Schizosaccharomyces pombe: one gene and its partners. Changing the gene in region 2 together with the main gene of any one other region gives a genetic interaction. Each region holds a gene or a part of one and is shown on either strand. Other genes may lie near its edges.

Region 1 (6,089 bases), on a different chromosome or scaffold from region 2:
ACCAAAGATATGGTTAGTTTTAAGTATTAATAACTAGGTTGAAATTTTTCTAACTTAATTGATGAATATTAATTCTTTGTATACTATCTTGAGAATCAGTAATCTCAGGGCTGAGAAAATACTCTGCCGGTAGACACTATACGGTACTTCTTAAACGTTTAAATAAAAGTAATTTATACAACAAATGTCTACGGCCATACCTAGGCGAAAACACCAGTTCCCGTCCGATCACTGCAGTTAAGCGTCTGAGGGCCTCGTTAGTACTATGGTTGGAGACAACATGGGAATCCGGGGTGCTGTAGGCTTCCTTTTATTCATTTTTTTTTTGTTTGTTTTTGTGTTAATTTATTGTTAAACATGAAATTTTTGTATTGAAATTTTGTCTTGAACTCGTTGAGGCTGTATAATTTTCAAGCAAAGCTGGAAAGCATACTAGTTTAGAAGGTTATGCACATGCATGAATTGACTTTGATAATATAATAATGTTTTCGTTACTAATCGTGTAAAAGAAATTTGTTCAGAATATCAAAAACAGTAGTTTTATACATAGTAGAAAGATTTAAAAATTGATTAATTCTCAAGAGAGACCAATTGATACATACAGAAAACAAAAAAATTATATAAATGGAAAAGGGTATGTTTCGTAAATGTTGCAATTGAGAAATAAAGCGCATTTCATTTATCGTAATTTGCCTAGATCAGAAAAAGCATTGCAAAATTAGCCTCCTGAGTATGAATCTGATGATAATAACTAACAAACACAGGTTGCATAATACATGTTCCGATAATTTTCGGCTCTCAAATACTTAAATATATGATCGTTTCGCATCAGCCGTTTCAAGTCATGAAAAAAATAATAATAAAATATCAACAATACTATGCGGTTGCGGTTGCATAGCTAACGCTGCTATCGGTGACCAATTCAACATGGCTACTTTGAGCGTACGAAATAAACTTGAATCTTTCAGAGAAATTGGCGCATTCCATAGATTTCATAATGAGTTCTATAGGGTAACGGCCGCATATGGTGTTTTGAGTGGTTTTCAAATACTCTGAAAAGTCATCACTACTTTTCGTTTCAATAATTTTCATACCAATATGATCCAAATTAGATATAGACTCATAAATTTTGGGACTAGTGGGGCCACCTCGTCTTTTGTATTTTAAGACTGCATCCTCTAATTGATTCGTATCGTTCAAATAAAGGGTATATCCAAATCTTCTTCCCCAATGACAAAAATCGGAAGATATAACAAATGAATTTGATTCATCTTTAATATACTGACTCAGAAATTTCGCTGCTGCCATCATTGTGGTTGAAGTTAAGGCACCTATCATGATAGGAACAATTTTGACTTTTCCCAAGCATCCTTGTTTCAGCAAATGAAAAGCTAAAAGAGGGAATTGCATTTCGAGGCTATGTTCACTTTCATCCACATCCAAGGTCATTGAGTCGAAGCTGTTATCGCTAGCGACGAGTTTCTGACATACTATATAAATTTCCAGTTAGCAAATAATCTGTGCTGAGAAATAGACAGTAGCAATTTAGTAAAACTACTAAGCAAAACTGTTTTCACATACAGTCTTCATCCACTTTCAAATCACCTAAAGGTGTTGAGCAGATGCTAGCTCGACTGACTAGGCATTTTCTAGTAAAGATGTGATGAGAAGGCCCAAAAACAAAAACTCTCTGAATTTTCGAAAAGTCCAATTGCTGAAATCCTTGGGATGCGACTTTCCCACTATACATGTAACCAGCATGTCTGCTCAATATTTAGCTATATACTGAATATCACATAAATTATAAGTTGTCTATACGTACGGTGAAATGACAAACCGTTTCCCAGTCTCGGGCGTTGGGTTTTTGATAAATGATTTTAATTGCTTAGTTAGTAATTCTGTATCATCCAAATACCAAGATCCTGCATGAGTTGCTTCACGAATGGCTTGTGACATGAGATAAATTGAAGAATAATATTGATACGTTCAAATTGTAATTCGGTTTGTGATGTTCGTTTGACAATGGGTATTATTTTCTGAACAACACACTGTTACATATATCTTGCTTTCTTGCCTTCATCATTTGCGTTTTGCTGCACTAACACCACTTTTGGGAGGTCGAAACACAAGACTAAGACAATCGCAAAATCAGGTTTTCACACAATAAAATCATTACTTAAGAATACTGAATTGAAAGGCTTTCATTTGTTATACGTTCACGATTTACTCAAATTTCTTGTAGTAAAAACAGGTGGATTAAAATCTTTTTCGTATCCGTGTATCAGCCCTTTCGCGCTGGTAGGTCAATCGAGAATACTAAGAAATTGCAAGTGTTGTTTTCAACTAAATAAGGGTTGATCTTCTAAATTATTTCACCTATGCTATGCTTTCGTTAAAATAATAAGTATTTGTTAATTTTCTTAGTTTGACGTGTCATCGTTTCACAATTTAATATTTATTACCCGACAACTCATCGGAAAAGACCGTGTTTGGCCAAAAATCTTTGCATTGTTTTCCTATTTCTCACTTTTTTAAAATATACATTTGAAGCTGTCGGTTGAGTGTTTTGTTCTTCTCAATTATGGAAACGAAATCATCATACTTGAAGTTTCTGAATGAAGAACAAAGGATTAGTGTTCAGAGTCCTCATAAGTATACTCAAATTTTAGCCGGTCCTGGGTCTGGAAAAACCCGTGTTCTTACCGCTCGAGTAGCCTATTTACTTCAAAAGAACCATATTGCAGCCGAAGATTTAATTATAGCCACCTTTACGAACAAAGCCGCAAATGAAATAAAGCTCAGAATTGAAGCTATTTTGGGGAATAGTGAAGCCTCTAAGCTTATTTCTGGGACGTTTCATTCTATAGCGTACAAGTATTTGGTTAAATATGGCAAGCATATAGGGCTATCCTCAAATTGGTTGATTGCTGACAGAAATGATACGTATGTCTTGTTTACACTTTTCTAACTTTTACTTCTCCACTTTCAACCATTGCTGATCTATTTAGTCAAGCTATTATGAAGCGACTTTTAGACTCTCTCAAGAAAGCTAAAAATCCGATTGCTTCTGGTATTAGAGGACAAGAATTGACTCCTCAGAATGCTCTAAATCGCATAACTAAATTAAAGTCCAACGGTCTTCTTGTTAAACCTGGAATGGATCAGTTGAGTTTGATTAATGGTCTGGAAGAACCACCTAAAGAGCTTCAAAGCCATCAATCTGTTGAATTGTATAGACTTTATCAAACTTCCTTATGGAAGAACAATTTAGCGGTACGTAACAAGCATAAAGTTGTATGTATATATCTAACTATTTAGGATTTTGATGATTTGCTTTTAAACTTTATTTTATTACTTCAAAAGCAACCAGATTGTGTGAGGAATATAAAACATATTTTAATCGATGAATTTCAAGATACTAGCAAAATCCAATATTTTCTTGTTAAGCTTTTGGCATTGCAAAATTCAGATATCACGATTGTTGGCGATCCCGATCAATCAATCTATGGATTTCGAAGTGCTGAAATTAGGAACTTAAACCAAATGTCTGAAGACTTTGAAGGTACCCAAGTGCTTCATTTGGAAAGAAATTACCGTTCAGCTAAACCTATACTTGAATTAGCACTGTCTATCATTTCACAGGACAAAAGCAGGCCTAAGAAGGGGCTCAAAAGTAATCACATCTCTTCCTTAAAGCCTCATTACCGATTGTTTGAAACTAACAATAAAGAATCTTACTGGATCGCAAGGTTCGTATGGCTTCATTGCATGAAAGTTTACTAACGATTCTTTAGAGAAATTAAACGTATAGTAGGTTCTTGTCCAGAGCTTATATTTTATAACGATATCGCAATCCTTGTAAGGTCCTCCAGCCTTACAAGAAGTTTAGAACATGCACTTTCCGAACTTGGTGTGCCCTACCGCATGGTTGGAGTTAACAAGTTTTTTGATAGAGAAGAGATTCGAGACTTAATAGCTTACTTGAGAGTCCTAGCTAACAAAGATTCGACTTCTTTAATTCGTGTCATCAATGTCCCTCCTAGAAATATTGGCAAAACAAAAATCGACCGTATTATTTTCGAAAGTGAAAGAAGAGGATTGACCTTTTGGCAAACTTTAAATGAAGTAAAGAATGAAAATATTTTACTTTCTCAAAGAAATGACAAGAGTTTTCTAAAGTCTTTAAAGTCTTTTCTTTGTTCAATCTCCAAACTTGAAAATCGTTACTTGTCTAATGGGCACTCAGCAACTCTTAGTGATTTACTTTTGGGAATACTTTCTGAGATTAAATATTACGAATACCTGGTTCGGAAAAATAAAGAAACTGTCGAAGAAAAATGGGAAAATGTAATGGAGCTTGTACAACAAAGCGATAACATATCTTGTATATTCTATGAATTAGATTACAAAATATCAACAATTGTTCTATTGCAGAATTTTTTGACTCAAATCGCTCTTGTGAATGAAGAACAGAAAGAGGGCGAATCTCAGAAGGTTACCATTTCAACCCTTCACGCAGCTAAGGGTTTAGAGTGGCCTGTTGTATTTTTACCTTGTCTTTGTGAAAATATTATCCCTCATTCTCGTTCAGACGACCTCGACGAGGAAAGAAGGCTGCTATATGTCGGTGCCACACGTGCACAGGCGCTACTGTATCTATCTTCCTTTAAAAGCGTCACTGGAATGTTTGCAGATATGCAGAACTCAGACAATGTACAGGACGTCAGTCCATTTTTAAAAGGAGAAGAAATGAAAAGATGGGTGATGGAAAGTGAAATAGTTTTTAATGAAAAGATTGCTTCTGAAATTGGAACCATATTGGGTCGGAAATCTTATGGGAAAATAACTAATTTAAGCGGTATTGGTTCAAATGCAAATCATAACGGAACTAAATTCGAAAACTTGGGCTTCCAATGCTGTCGTGTTCTAGCTGAGGCAGAATTGAAAAAGAGAGAACGAGTCAAAAGTGTCAATGACTATAATAAAGATGAAACAAATTTTAGAAAACATAATGCCAAGAGATCGAAAACCGATATACGAAGTTGGTTTGAGAAAAAACAACCAATCGATTCAGATGTAGAGATTTCTGAGCCGTCAAGGTCCGCAAGCATAATGGTTGCAAATAAAGATTTAAATGATCGAAGTTTTGAAACTGTCAATCGTATTGTATCGACAAGAGCCTCAACGACAAACGCTTCTTTCATGAGCAGCGTCAGACAAAATCTTGGTAGAGGTCCTTCTACGAAAGATCAGGTAATAAATAGAACGTTGAGGGAAGGTCACCAAGATGTTGTGCAACATACTGACCTTAATCAATCAAATACTAAGGTCGCGAGTGCCCGTCCTGCTGGTTCGAGAAAACGATTGGGTGTAAGGCTACGAGTTTCACGAATGTTATAGTCATATCATGTTGTACAAAATCACGTATTATATTTATAGACAATCTAAACACCTTGCTACGGTGTTTTCTTTAAAATACCTACATATAATGTCAGCTTGAAAATAGATACAGATAATAAACTTACATTAGAGTACTACAGTTTCGACAAATATTTCGTTGGCAGCGATCACATGTAGAAAGATATAATACGTTATCACAAAATTCGCAAACACCGGTAGATGAAGGCAGATGGTCATTGTCAGTAACAAAATTAACCTTTTCATTTAAAACGATAGAAGAGGCATCATGGGCATTACTTTTTTTGCTTGCAAACAAACTAAGAAAAGATCTCACTTAGAAGCTTAGTAAAAAATCGCTAAATTCTTCACTTACTATCCAAATGATTTTTACACTTCTTTCTTGGTAACCTACTAGGAACATGTTCAGAACGACATCTTTTCATAGCTAAATCTCGGATACTTCGAGTTTCAAAAAAATGTGACACGTTGTTCTACCCTCTTAAAGCCTTATCGAGGTGTTGTTTTGTTTTTGTGGAACGCGGACTAGATGGCTAGTGCATGGTCTAATGGACTGTACAGGAATGGTCAAATAGGCGATACTTCTTGTCAAAATATAGCACTAAATGCATTTTTGAACCCTGTATATATTCGAAAAAAATACAAATCGTCCTTATTAATACATTTCGTAA
Region 2 (5,349 bases):
CATACCGTTTTCCTTTCCTTTTCTACAGCATGGATTAGCTCTTCCATTCTCACAATATGGGCTTGCTGTTGCTCATACTCTTCATGAATGGTTTGTAATTGAGCTGCATACTCCTTAGAATCACGAAGAGCTTCACGAAATTTTTTCTCCCAGGTTTTCGCTTGGGTATAACAAGACTTGCAAGCTTCTTCCGAAGAATCCAATTCCTCCAATAATTTTGCATTTCGCGCGTTTAGTTCTTTAACTTGCTCGTCTTTAGAACGTAATTCTGCCGCTTGAAGCTCTATCCTTTCATAAAGCTGTTGAATTAAAGAATCATCAGCATTTTCCTTGTTTATATGAGAAAATCCTTTATTTGATCCATATTCATTTTTAGTTCGAAACATTGACAAAGGGGTTGAATGACTCAAAGGTGATCCTTTTCTTGGTGTTATGTAACTTGCGTCTTGATAAAACATATCTTTTCTCTTTATTCGATTTTCTGATATTTTTTGAGGCTTCGCTACACTTTTTCTTGGTAATACCCCATTCTCGCGCAAAGCTAATTTGTTTACAGGAAGGGTATCAGGGTCAAGACCAGTTAACTCATAAAACAAATTCTTAATTTCACTCGTAGACACTACAATCTCACTGTTATCTTTTATAAAATCTTGGGCCGATTGTCTTTGCTCATTATCAAGCAAAGGGGCCTCTGGATTAAGTCGCAATGCGTCAACATCGTCGACAATTTCTAAAAATGCTTGAATGGAAACCTGTCGAAAATTAGAAACTATTTTTCAAGTAATGAGAAATTACTTTTCCTGTATAATCTGGGTCGTATTGGCGCACAATATCGTCAAAAGGGATGTATTCATCCATTTTGATTGTTTATTGACATGTGCTTTGGTTAAACAGAATTAGTATAAAGGCAGGTTTGTTAACGATAACTTGTGCGATTTTCTTATTTTTGTAATGTAATGCAGAACAATACGTTATAGAAGTTGCCTTAAAAAAGTAAACAAAGTGCAAGTCAAAACATAAACAGGATATTTTAGCAAAATGTTGCAGTACGAAATGTATAAAATTGTTAGCAAAATCATCTTCAAAATAAATTATTTTTTACTGATTGAGTTAAAGTGGAAGGAAAGCTTTACACTTACCTTTTTTTAAAAAACAAACAAATAAATAAACAGATAAACAAATGTGATCCGTTTCTTGAATCTAGATTTACTTAATTGAAGTAAATAGACTACTTAACTTAGAAAATTTACTACAATCATAAACAAGTGAAATTCTGCTCTCCTTTATTTTACAACGATGCACAAAAAGTTAGTCAGCGTTCCGACTAATTGGCGGTAGTAGAAATAGTAATTATACAAATTCTTTAAAATTTTCTAAAAAGTATATTAGTATCAAATTTTTCTTTTGACTATTTCACTGATTATGTTAGGCTATGGATTAATAGCTATTGAACTCGGTTTTCTTTGCATGGAATAAGCAAACTCACATTAAAAGTTGGTAAGTCGTTTTTAAAAGAGATGAAAAAGCTTAACTGTGACGATTATATCTCCTACTTCTCTATTCAATTACTGACAGCTTACACATAACAATGATAATATGGAGGATCGTGTTGCTTCAATGGTGCAACGATATTTTATTTAGGAATTTCAGTAATCTAAAACATACTTAAAAATAAATAAATCTAAACTATAAGCTTATCGAATTCCCAATACTCGTTCACTAGTACACGGAGTCTTTGTCTACCTCTCCTTAACCAAACTGTTGAAAGCTGAGAAACCTGTGAAACTATTTCTAAAAATCATTCAAACTAGGACTTTTATTGAACTTATGCGGTGATTGAAGATCCCTATGCAAATTGTAGGCTATTTGTCTGCAGATTCGCAGAGTAATCCTGATTTAAAATCCGAAAATGAAGCAAAAGAAGAAAAGCCTATTGGGAGGAGACACACAATGTCACCAGTCCCTGCCACATCTGAAAATAAATATTTTGGCAAATCTCCTTTGTCAGGGTCTCGTAAACCTCGAAGAAGCCGATCACTTCATAAGGAACGTAGCTACATGAGGAAATTCTTTGATATGGATATGGAGGAAAGCAAAGACTTTGAAAATGATCAATCTTTACTAGTAACGCTTAAAGTATCGACTTCCTTGGGTCAAAAAATTGAGAATATATTACACCCAAAACTCAGCAATGATACCAACTCAACTGCCTTTCCGCCTGCTAAGTCGTCGGGAGAAGCATCAGATACTAATATTTTAGTTGAGAATATTAATTCACAGGAAACAGTTAATTCTTCCCCCCTTGTTTCCGAGTTACATTATTCAAACTTAGCAGATTCACCTAGTAATCTGCGAAATACTGTCACATCCATGCACCCGTTTTTCATGTCAAAGTCTGTGAAAAAGAATTCTGAAATCAAATTTGTAAGTGAAGAAAGAGGCGGTACTAAGCCAGAGAGGTTACTTGATCCATTATGGCCGACACCCGATTCCCAGAGTATGTTAGAGTATGCCGGCTCTATTGAGCCGAGTGTTTTCTGGTTTCCGAAAAAGCATTTAGAAGAAGCCATTTTAGAAGAGACCTCTCATCTTTCGTTTAAGGAGGTTCTTTCCTCCACCACCGCGAATATGATAACCCCATTAGCTGAGAAAAATAAAACAGAAGTATTACAGGTTACTCCTTCTAAACTTCATACTTTTGCTTTGGAATCGTTGTGCTTTTCACCGGCTCCTTTTATTCAAAAGGTTTTGTCAAGACTTTTGCCATCAGATCCTAATGTTGAAATGCCAATGATCCCACAAATATTAGAAAAAGGACTGTGGGTGTCAAAATATGCTCCATCTAAAACACAAGATTGCTGTGCGTTCTCTCAATGCCTTTCGAAGATAGCGGATTGGCTAAGGTCATGTAGGTTGACCAAACCTGAAAGCTCATCTGTACCTCCTTCATCTTCTATATCTCGATCCTCGACTATTCATTCTTGTACATCTTCTAAAAGAAATGAAGATTCTCTTTCGGAAAGTGACTTTGAACCGGATATCATTGAAGAAGAAGATGATTCCGACGAGTTCAATCCTTCTGTGTCGCGTAAAAAAGCAAAGCTTACATCTTCTCAATTTTCTAACTGGATGCTTGTTACTGGTGTTACGGGAATAGGAAAGACTTCATGCTTATATGCCATATGTCGTGAGCTTAATTTTGAAGTTGTTGAAATACACCCGGGAATGAGACGCTCGGGAAAAGAGCTGCTTGAACGGATTGGTGAGCTAACACAAAGTCATATCGTTGATAAATCTAGGCTTAATAATACTCCTGACATTCTTATCCTACTTGAAGAAGTTGATATTTTATTTCAGGACGATCGTGGCTTTTGGCAAGCAGTCTCTACTTTAATTGAAAAATCTAAACGTCCTGTTGTCATGACTTGTAATGGTAGGGAGAATGTTTTAGTTTTTCCACTACTAACATAATTTTAGAAACTGATTTTTTACCTTCTGCCTTTCTTCAGGAAGACCACATTGTGCAATTTCAGTCCATCTCTTCTGCCTTGCTAACCGACTATATTTCTAGTGTATTGTATGCTGATCGTTGCATCATATCAAGAAATGTTGTTGAATCAATAAGCTACAGATATGGTTCTGATTTGCGAGGTATACTAATGCAATTAAACTTTTGGTCCCTTGTAAATTTCCCTTCTTTGCCTTCTAAAGATAAGCAAGATGATTCTCATGAACCATTTATTGAGGCAACTATTTCTGCCTTTGATGAAGGCGTTGGAGTTTACAACCCACGAATTCAAACTAGTGAAGATTTACTGCAAACGTATTCTGAGGAACAAATGGGAGATATTGGGTTACTGTTCATGCCGAATTTAGTAAATTGGAGAAAAGTTTGCGTCCCAAAGTCTGAAATGGAAGAGAAGGAAGCAATTATGGAAAAATTAATTTACAGCCATCAATACGCGGACTCTCTCTCTTATGTAGATTACCGCTTTAGCTCTCAACCCACTATTTATGAGACTTATGAGTTAATGAATGATTCCGCGTCATTTGAAGATATGAGTTTGGAATGTCGGGATAATTGCGCTAACGCGTTTCAAGATAATCTTGTGGGATTTCCAACGATTTCGAATCCCTTTCATGCCAACGCTCCTCCCGAACCCCATGAATTAAAGCTTCAATACCATTCATTTTGCTTTATTAATAACTTATTTTCAAAAAGCTCTTTGAAAGCTATTTCCAGTAACGATAGCATTGTTCCAAAAGCTCTCAATAACCGTGAATTACAGCTATCTGCATTAGCGTCAACTATAGGTTACAAGTACGGTTACAAAAAAAATAGAAAATCTTACTTACTGTTTAATTTAGACTTGATCCGGATGATGTTTATAACATTCTTTCGTTTTTATCATTTGCTAATTCACAGGTCACCTCTTATACCCCCCCTAACAGCATTGACCGTCCTAATGACATTTTGATCCTTGAAGTTGCACCCTTTGTTCGTTGTATGCGAAGATATGATCGCATTCGTCTAAACAGCTATAAGTTGCTTCTCTCATCGAAAGGTCGTTCAGCATCTCATATATCGAGAAGAGGTGCAGCGAGTATATTACGGAGCGCTGGATATAACTATGGACGACTACAATATCTAGAAGGTAGCGACCGCATACTGTCTACTTGGTTTTCAACAACTCTAGATTAGCTTCTACATTTCCATTTTATTTTAAAAAACAACTCCTCCAGTTGAAACCAAAATAAGTTTCACTGTTTCTGTATATAGTGTATACTACTGAATATATCAAATCTTTACATTTATGATATTCAATAAAATTTATTTTATTTACTAAAATTTGCATTAAACGCATTACGTTGCACAATATGAACATCATTAAAACAAACAAAGAGCTTAGTAAGTCATTCGCTATGGATTTCTAAACCATAACTCATCAAATCATTACATTAAACGGCGGGAAGATGGCAGCGGCACACGGGACAAATACTTCTAGTTTCCATCCACTGTAGTAAGCATTGCCGATGGTAGAGATGGTGACAAGGTGTAAGCATGTAATTTCGTCTTACCATCATAGAGGCAGGATTTAAAGTAGATCCAGTGGAGACAAGCTCGATAGGTTGCATGCAAATTGGACAAACATTTGCATCTCTCATAAAGGCCTCCAAATCATCTTGTTGAATAACAGGATGATAGTCATAAACTGGGCTTGAAAGAAAGAACTAAAATTGAGTTAGCATTTTAAAAACATTAGAGCTTCAAATGCTCGGTTTAAAAAGTGTTGGCTTACCTTTTTAGGGAGAAAGAATCTCGGTCCCAATGTGTCTTGAACAAGCAGG
Region 3 (5,996 bases), 3.2 Mb from region 2:
TTCGCATACGATCCTCGTTATTATCTACCATCATAGGAATTTCTAGAGAATCCAAACGTTCACCAGTCATGGGTACGCAGACATACCCACTATTTATTAGCATTTCAAACAATTCCATGTCGTTTTGCATACCTAGAATGCCTGACTAAGAATGCCATTTGTTCGGTAGTAACTTTGCAACCTGCAATAATCAGATCTCCTTCGTTTTCACGCGTTTCATCGTCTAACACTATTAAAAACTTTCCATCCCCTTGTCATGATATTAGCGTTTTATCTTTTTAAAAAGAAATATGCTTACGAAAGTCATTCACTGCTTCCTCAATTGATGCAAGCATTCTGGTATTTGGCAGCTTTTCAGATGCTCTCTGCTAAGTTTACTAAGCACTTAGCTCACCATAACTCTGATAGTTAACACAGCAATGTAGCGTACTTAGATGAAACGATATAATTATTAATAATAAAAATAATTTTATACATTTTAAACCGCCTGTCAATTAGCTTTTATTTTACTGACTCAATTACAAATGATATGGTTCACGATAGCTTTATTGAAAATACCACTCACCGAATTTTTAAATCTAACCTTGCAAATACGGTCATGCTAAATATGATATAATATATCTTATAAACATTAAAGTATGTAACGGACAAAAGAACACACATTTAAGATTAAGAAAATTTGAGCATATCTTACCAGAACTGTAAAATCCACCAAAAAATCTATATTATTTACTATTGTTGCAAAGTAATTGAAAAGTATTCGCAAATTTCACTTACTCAGCAATATAATCCCGATAACTCATATACAATCCGTAAAAGTAATATTTTCAGAGCTTTTTAAGCTGTCTTTTTTCTGGATCGGCGACTGGTTGAGCTAGAAGAGGACGCTTCAGCCTTTGCCTTAGTCCTTTTTTTAGGTTTCTTTGGTACCGAAATAAATTTGTCTTTGCTTAAATCTATGTCCTCTTCATTAGCAGCCTCTGAGTCACTAGCTTCTTCTAACATCTCATCTTCGGCTTCAATTGCATCTTCGACATCCGGCACTTCGCGCTGAGCAGAGCCCTTCATAGGTAAAACATCACTACTTCCAAAGAAGGCGATGGGGTGACTCGAAGAATTGTATTTTCTTGTGAATGCAGATTTTGCAGCAGTCGGTATGGTTTTCATGAGTTTCTCACCTGCATCTGCAGGAAGAACTAATTCCGTTATTGAATCAAAATCTTCACGATTTAGATAATATTCATCCATCAATTCAATGATTTCTGGAACGACGTCTGAATGGCCTGTTGATAGCTTTACAGGCAGAGACTCATACAATATTGGAATATAATGCTGCCGCAAGTCCAATTTATTAGCGGATACTTTTAAACGCATGTGTACTTGTATCTCACGAAGCATACGATATAATTTATTTGTCTTCGAGTTATTACCCAACCAATTAGTAAAGCGAATCTGCCTGGAACCGGAACCAGCCACGAAAGAAGCAGGTCGCACGCAAGACATAAGAGCATGGGTTGGCATAAGTGACCAGTGTTGTTGAGGACCATGAATCATTGAATCAACAAGATCAGAGTCGGAAAAGGAGTTAGCAGCACTAGATATTAATTCTAAATGCTTCAAATGTGACATTTTCGGTGGTTCTTGACGAATTCTATCTGGTGTAGTATTAAGGTAGTTTTCTTGAACCATAAGATAAGAAAATTCGTGATCATTAAAATACAGCTCTAATTTATCATTAATGGTGGACTTGCTTGATGGATGAAACATTCCTCCATGTAAGTAACGACTACAGATATCCCATGGTTTCATAACGATATGCTTTTCAGAATTTTTAATAACAGCTTGGCTATTTTGAGGTGTCATTTCTGAACAGCTTAACTTGTAAGTGGATAGCAAATTAATAATTTGGCGCATATCGGACTGCGTCCCCTGAACCAGTTGATCGACTGCTTGTGGTGACAATTTGAGACCTTCACGATACGCTATAGACATTATTCGGGATCGCATTGAATTAGCATCTGGCCGACGGAAACGGAGGTCAAACGTAGTACGGTCAAGGGGCCGCAGCTTTGGATGAGCACGGTCATTGCAAATACAAATAATTGGTATCATGCTTTTTTTAATAATCATATTCAACTGACCAACGCCTCCACGATCACCCGATGACATGCCATCGATTTCGTCCATAATGAGTACAAGTCGGGACTTTGCCATGTCAACGGGGTTAGCTTTTGTGCCAAAGTAGCCGGCAAGTGATTGACTATCTGTCACACCGAACAGCTGCTCATCTAGCAAGCGCTTGCTTCTAGTGTCACTAGCGTTCAGTTCCAAAACATCGTAACCTTCTAATTTTGCTACCAAATGAGCAGCAGTCGTCTTGCCAATACCTGGAGGACCAGAGAGTAATACGGCTTTGTATAGACCCAGACCATCAGGTCCAGGTTTATTAAAGTTGGACTTCCTGTTTTTGTGGTAATCCTGTAGCCACTTTTGAAGTTTTTGAACGACACCCTTATTACCACAAATATCCTTTAAAGAAGTTGGCGCATATTTTGAAGTCCATATCTGTGAAGGTTGTGATTCCTTTTTATTACTATCGTCCATTCTCGCAACAGTTTCAAGGATTTTCTTTTCTTCTTGTTCCTTTTTCTGTTGAGCAGCCTGAGCCGCAGCACCCGTTCCTCCTGAAGCAGGAAGATGAGTTATAAGATAGAAGAGTCCATCCTCGTTAATAGCAGGAATCTTGTGTTGTTTAATTGTTTCCACTTTTCTTGGACCAGCATTCTCACCTAAGAGAATAAAGTCTGTTCTAACAGAAGGTGCACCTGTCACTTTTCCACCATATTGTTTGATCAGGTCTGTAGCCTCTTGTCTAGTTAAAGTCTCTAGAATTCCTGTAATAACAAAGCTAATTCCCGAGAGACAATCGCTATTGCCTTCAGGGACGGGTTTTGAGCCTGGAGTTTGTGTTGTAGCCGCCCGTTCATAGAAAGTACCTGGAGCCATCACACCCATAGAGTCTACGTCAATTAAAGGAACATTTTTGAGGGCTTGGGAAACTTCGTCTGAGAACCTAGGTAAGCCTTTCGACTTGCTAGAACGACTTGTGTGAGTTGTCGCAGTTGTGGTATGAGATTTTGACTTTGAAGTTGTCGATTTTTCTGCTTTAGGTTGAGCAGGTTTACGTGTAGCTCTAGTTTGATGGACAACTGGCTTACTGTCTGAAGTGGTATCCAAGTCATTGGCAAAATTTTCTGTTTTTACAGGATGTACGACATCTTTGGAAGTAGTAGTTTCTTTATTGGAGATAATCCGCGGTTTAGAACGTGACCGAGTAGACTGTTGTTCAAAGTACTCATCAGGTGTAGTTGAAACTCCATCTGAACCGACACTAAACAAAAATTCAAATTAGCGAACAACGCATAATGAGGTAAAAGTAAAATAAACATACAGTTTATCGTCTTCATGAACAATGGATGGCAAAGAATGGGAAATATCTTCCGACTCATTACTAGTTGGAGGGTTAGAAATATAAACTGATAACCCGAATTAAACGAACCGTTTTTGCACTTTGCTTTTGGATGCAGGAACTTTTGAATTCTCTATTGTACCATCTTCATCATCTGATAAAACGATTCTTTTTTTCTTCAAACTCCTTTTTGGTTTTGGGGAAGTAGGCTAGACAAAGACGTTAGAAAATGAATGACTAGCTTATCAAATTTGACTGATTGAAGAAACAAACATACAGTCGGTGAGACTTTTGGCTTTTTTTGAGCGTTCCCTCCTCCAAAGAAGCTTCGAATGTCAGAATTACTCATTTCCGACGATGAATAACAATTACCCAATTCCTGAGAAGCTACTGTCTAACTTCCAAAAAAGCAGTGTATGTATGTATATTGGGCGACAATAGCAAGGAATGTGACAATTTGCCAAAAGCAGAGAGTTAACAAAGCTTCGTTAAAACATTCGTAAATGAGTAAATTAAGGAATAGTAAGGAGAGTGTAAAAAATTGATTGTGGGCGTTCGTTATTTAATCTCGTAAAATGAGTCGTGGAGGAAGAAAAGTGGGCTCTTTTACAGTACTATTTTGATTGTGCATTTGTTACGAGACTAATAAACGTTCGTCAATACGAATGAAGAAATCCAAGTTGTATGGTTATTATTAAGGTAAAGCTGAAGCCAGCGGCTTGAGAAATTATCGAATATAAGAGTTTAGTGGTGTTCGACAATGACAGAATGTGATGTGCAAATGTACATGCCAGTGAATGTAGTTCAATCCGGAACTGACTTTGAGTGCATTGTAAAATTCACGAATCTAAGGAGTTCAGAAGATGTAAATTTACTTTTGTGCTATGCTTCTATCCATGGTGAAATGTACCTTGACTATGTACTGGTGCGCGTTACAGAATTCGATGAGGTTCAGAGGCAGGGGCTCTTAAACAAAAGGACAATGAGCGGATTAGTACATATTCCCAAGGTATCCAGCAGTTATTCTGTTATTAATACTCTGAACGGGATGATTGGAAATTTATTTGGAGTTAAACAAGCAAGTACATTGACAGAGGCCTCAGGTATGTAATGGTGAAAGGGTGCAAAAGGAAATAAAGACTTGGTAAAAAAAATCTCTCAATTGGCTTACATTTGGAGGGAAGATATAGCTCGGAAGAGTGCTTATACGGTGAGGTGGACATAAAGTCAATTGACGAATTACAGAAAGGTTGTCTGGGAAGAGTTTTGTAATTCATTTGAAACATATTTACTCTTTATTCAATTTTTTTTTTTTTTTTTTTTTTTTTTGGAAGATGGTTACTCTTATTTTTACTGCAACCTACTGCTTAAGCATGAATACTAACCGATAAAGAACAAAAGCAGGAAAATGCCATTCCAGTGCTACTGACTCGTCCAGATATATTAGGAGTCGATATCACGCTTTCTCCTGGAGAGGAAAAATGCTTTCGGTTGAAGCGAAGAATTCCCCTTCGAACAGCACCTACATATAAAGGATTGGCCTTTCGATTTCAACACGCACTGGTCATAGGAGTCCAATCAGCTACCAACAATGCTTGTGTAGAGCATGAATTTGAAATTACTATAGTACCCAACGTTCAACAGCAACCTGAACTGCCACTCGGAAAGAATTCGGGAAACAGACAATCCTCGAAGCTGTTTGCAGATTTATCCAAACCGATTATTGAAACAGATGCGGCAGAAATTGAAGAGGTTTCAGCAGAGAAAGCACGTAGGCAATTCGGTAAAAACGGTATACGACTTTCGCAGGATGCGCAGGAGGAAGAGAAGCAAAAAAAGAAATACGAGCAACACATAAAAAAGCTACTTGATGGAGAGTCTAATGAAGAGGGAGGAGGAGAATTCCAAGATCATGGAATGAGGTCAGAGATCAATGAAGAAGTATTAGAGGAAGAGGATGAAGAAAAAATTGCGTTGTTAAAAAAACTCGAATCCAAGCAACCAATGGCCACGAGGTTTGAGATTACAAGCAAACAAAAAGTGTTATGTCGATTGCTTTTGAGCAAAAGCAGATATCGGACAGGAGAGATGATGATGATTGAGCTAGAAGGACTGGACGCGATGGTTCGACAAGTGCATATGCAACTTGAAAGTGTGGAGCGTATTGTGCCAGACATCCGTATACGCAACAGCGTAGGGACGGAGAGGGCGACGCGAAAAGTGTGGTGTAGAATTACACGGGGAGTGTTTGAGTTGGAAAACATGAGCGCTTCGATGGTTGTGCCGGAGGAATGTCCGGAAACATTTGAAACACAGCAATTTGGAGTGGAACACTTTTTGCGGGTGGAATTGTTAAGGGCGGTGAACAAGAAACGTGAGATGCAGGGACCGGCGCATCCCCGATATAGTGAAGAGGTGCAGAGTCCGAGTCGATCGAGATACAGTGAAGAAGTACAGAGGGTGAGTGAAGGTAGATTGAGCGAAGAGGTAAGCAAGGAGGAAGAGAAGAAAGGAGGGAGGGAGAGCG

Evidence for each region.
Region 1: of elg1 (region 2) and srs2, changing one suppresses a phenotype caused by changing the other (phenotypic suppression), as found in Schizosaccharomyces pombe (one study listed by BioGRID).
Region 3: of elg1 (region 2) and rfc1, extra expression of one is lethal in a mutant of the other (dosage lethality), as found in Schizosaccharomyces pombe (one study listed by BioGRID).

Annotation. Positions count from the first base shown.
Region 1 is NC_003424.3:3,830,194-3,836,282, forward strand, and holds srs2 (UvrD subfamily ATP-dependent DNA helicase), read left to right. Parts: upstream 1-2,085; 5' UTR 2,086-2,581; coding exon 2,582-2,943; intron 2,944-3,008; coding exon 3,009-3,273; intron 3,274-3,293; exon of another isoform or gene 3,294-3,318; coding exon 3,319-3,749; exon of another isoform or gene 3,750-3,794; coding exon 3,795-5,400; 3' UTR 5,401-5,433; coding exon of another isoform or gene 5,434-5,479; 3' UTR 5,480-5,525; downstream 5,526-6,089. Other genes in the region: SPOM_SPAC4H3.04C (uncharacterized protein), read right to left, coding at 877-1,490, 1,582-1,763, 1,823-1,956; SPOM_SPAC4H3.16 (uncharacterized protein), read right to left, coding at 5,434-5,479, 5,526-5,733, 5,774-5,843. UniProt on the Schizosaccharomyces pombe protein: ATP-dependent DNA helicase involved in DNA repair at least for UV-induced lesions. Also aids the recombinational repair of camptothecin-induced collapsed replication forks.
Region 2 is NC_003423.3:648,132-653,480, forward strand, and holds elg1 (DNA replication factor C complex subunit Elg1), read left to right. Parts: upstream 1-1,751; 5' UTR 1,752-1,848; coding exon 1,849-3,433; intron 3,434-3,477; coding exon 3,478-4,321; intron 4,322-4,368; coding exon 4,369-4,702; 3' UTR 4,703-4,849; downstream 4,850-5,349. Other genes in the region: protein Kms2, read right to left, coding at 6-752, 796-858; dsc1 (ubiquitin-protein ligase E3), read right to left, coding at 4,960-5,232, 5,301-5,349.
Region 3 is NC_003423.3:3,852,125-3,858,120, forward strand, and holds rfc1 (DNA replication factor C complex subunit Rfc1), read right to left. Parts: upstream 3,899-5,996; 5' UTR 3,819-3,898; coding exon 3,747-3,818; exon of another isoform or gene 3,679-3,746; coding exon 3,560-3,678; exon of another isoform or gene 3,512-3,559; coding exon 3,452-3,511; exon of another isoform or gene 3,392-3,451; coding exon 838-3,391; 3' UTR 533-837; downstream 1-532. Other genes in the region: rib3 (3,4-dihydroxy-2-butanone 4-phosphate synthase), read right to left, coding at 1-89, 133-250, 299-335; rgp1 (protein sat1), read left to right, coding at 4,230-4,572, 4,863-5,996. UniProt on the Schizosaccharomyces pombe protein: The elongation of primed DNA templates by DNA polymerase delta and epsilon requires the action of the accessory proteins PCNA and activator 1. Subunit 1 is essential for cell cycle progression.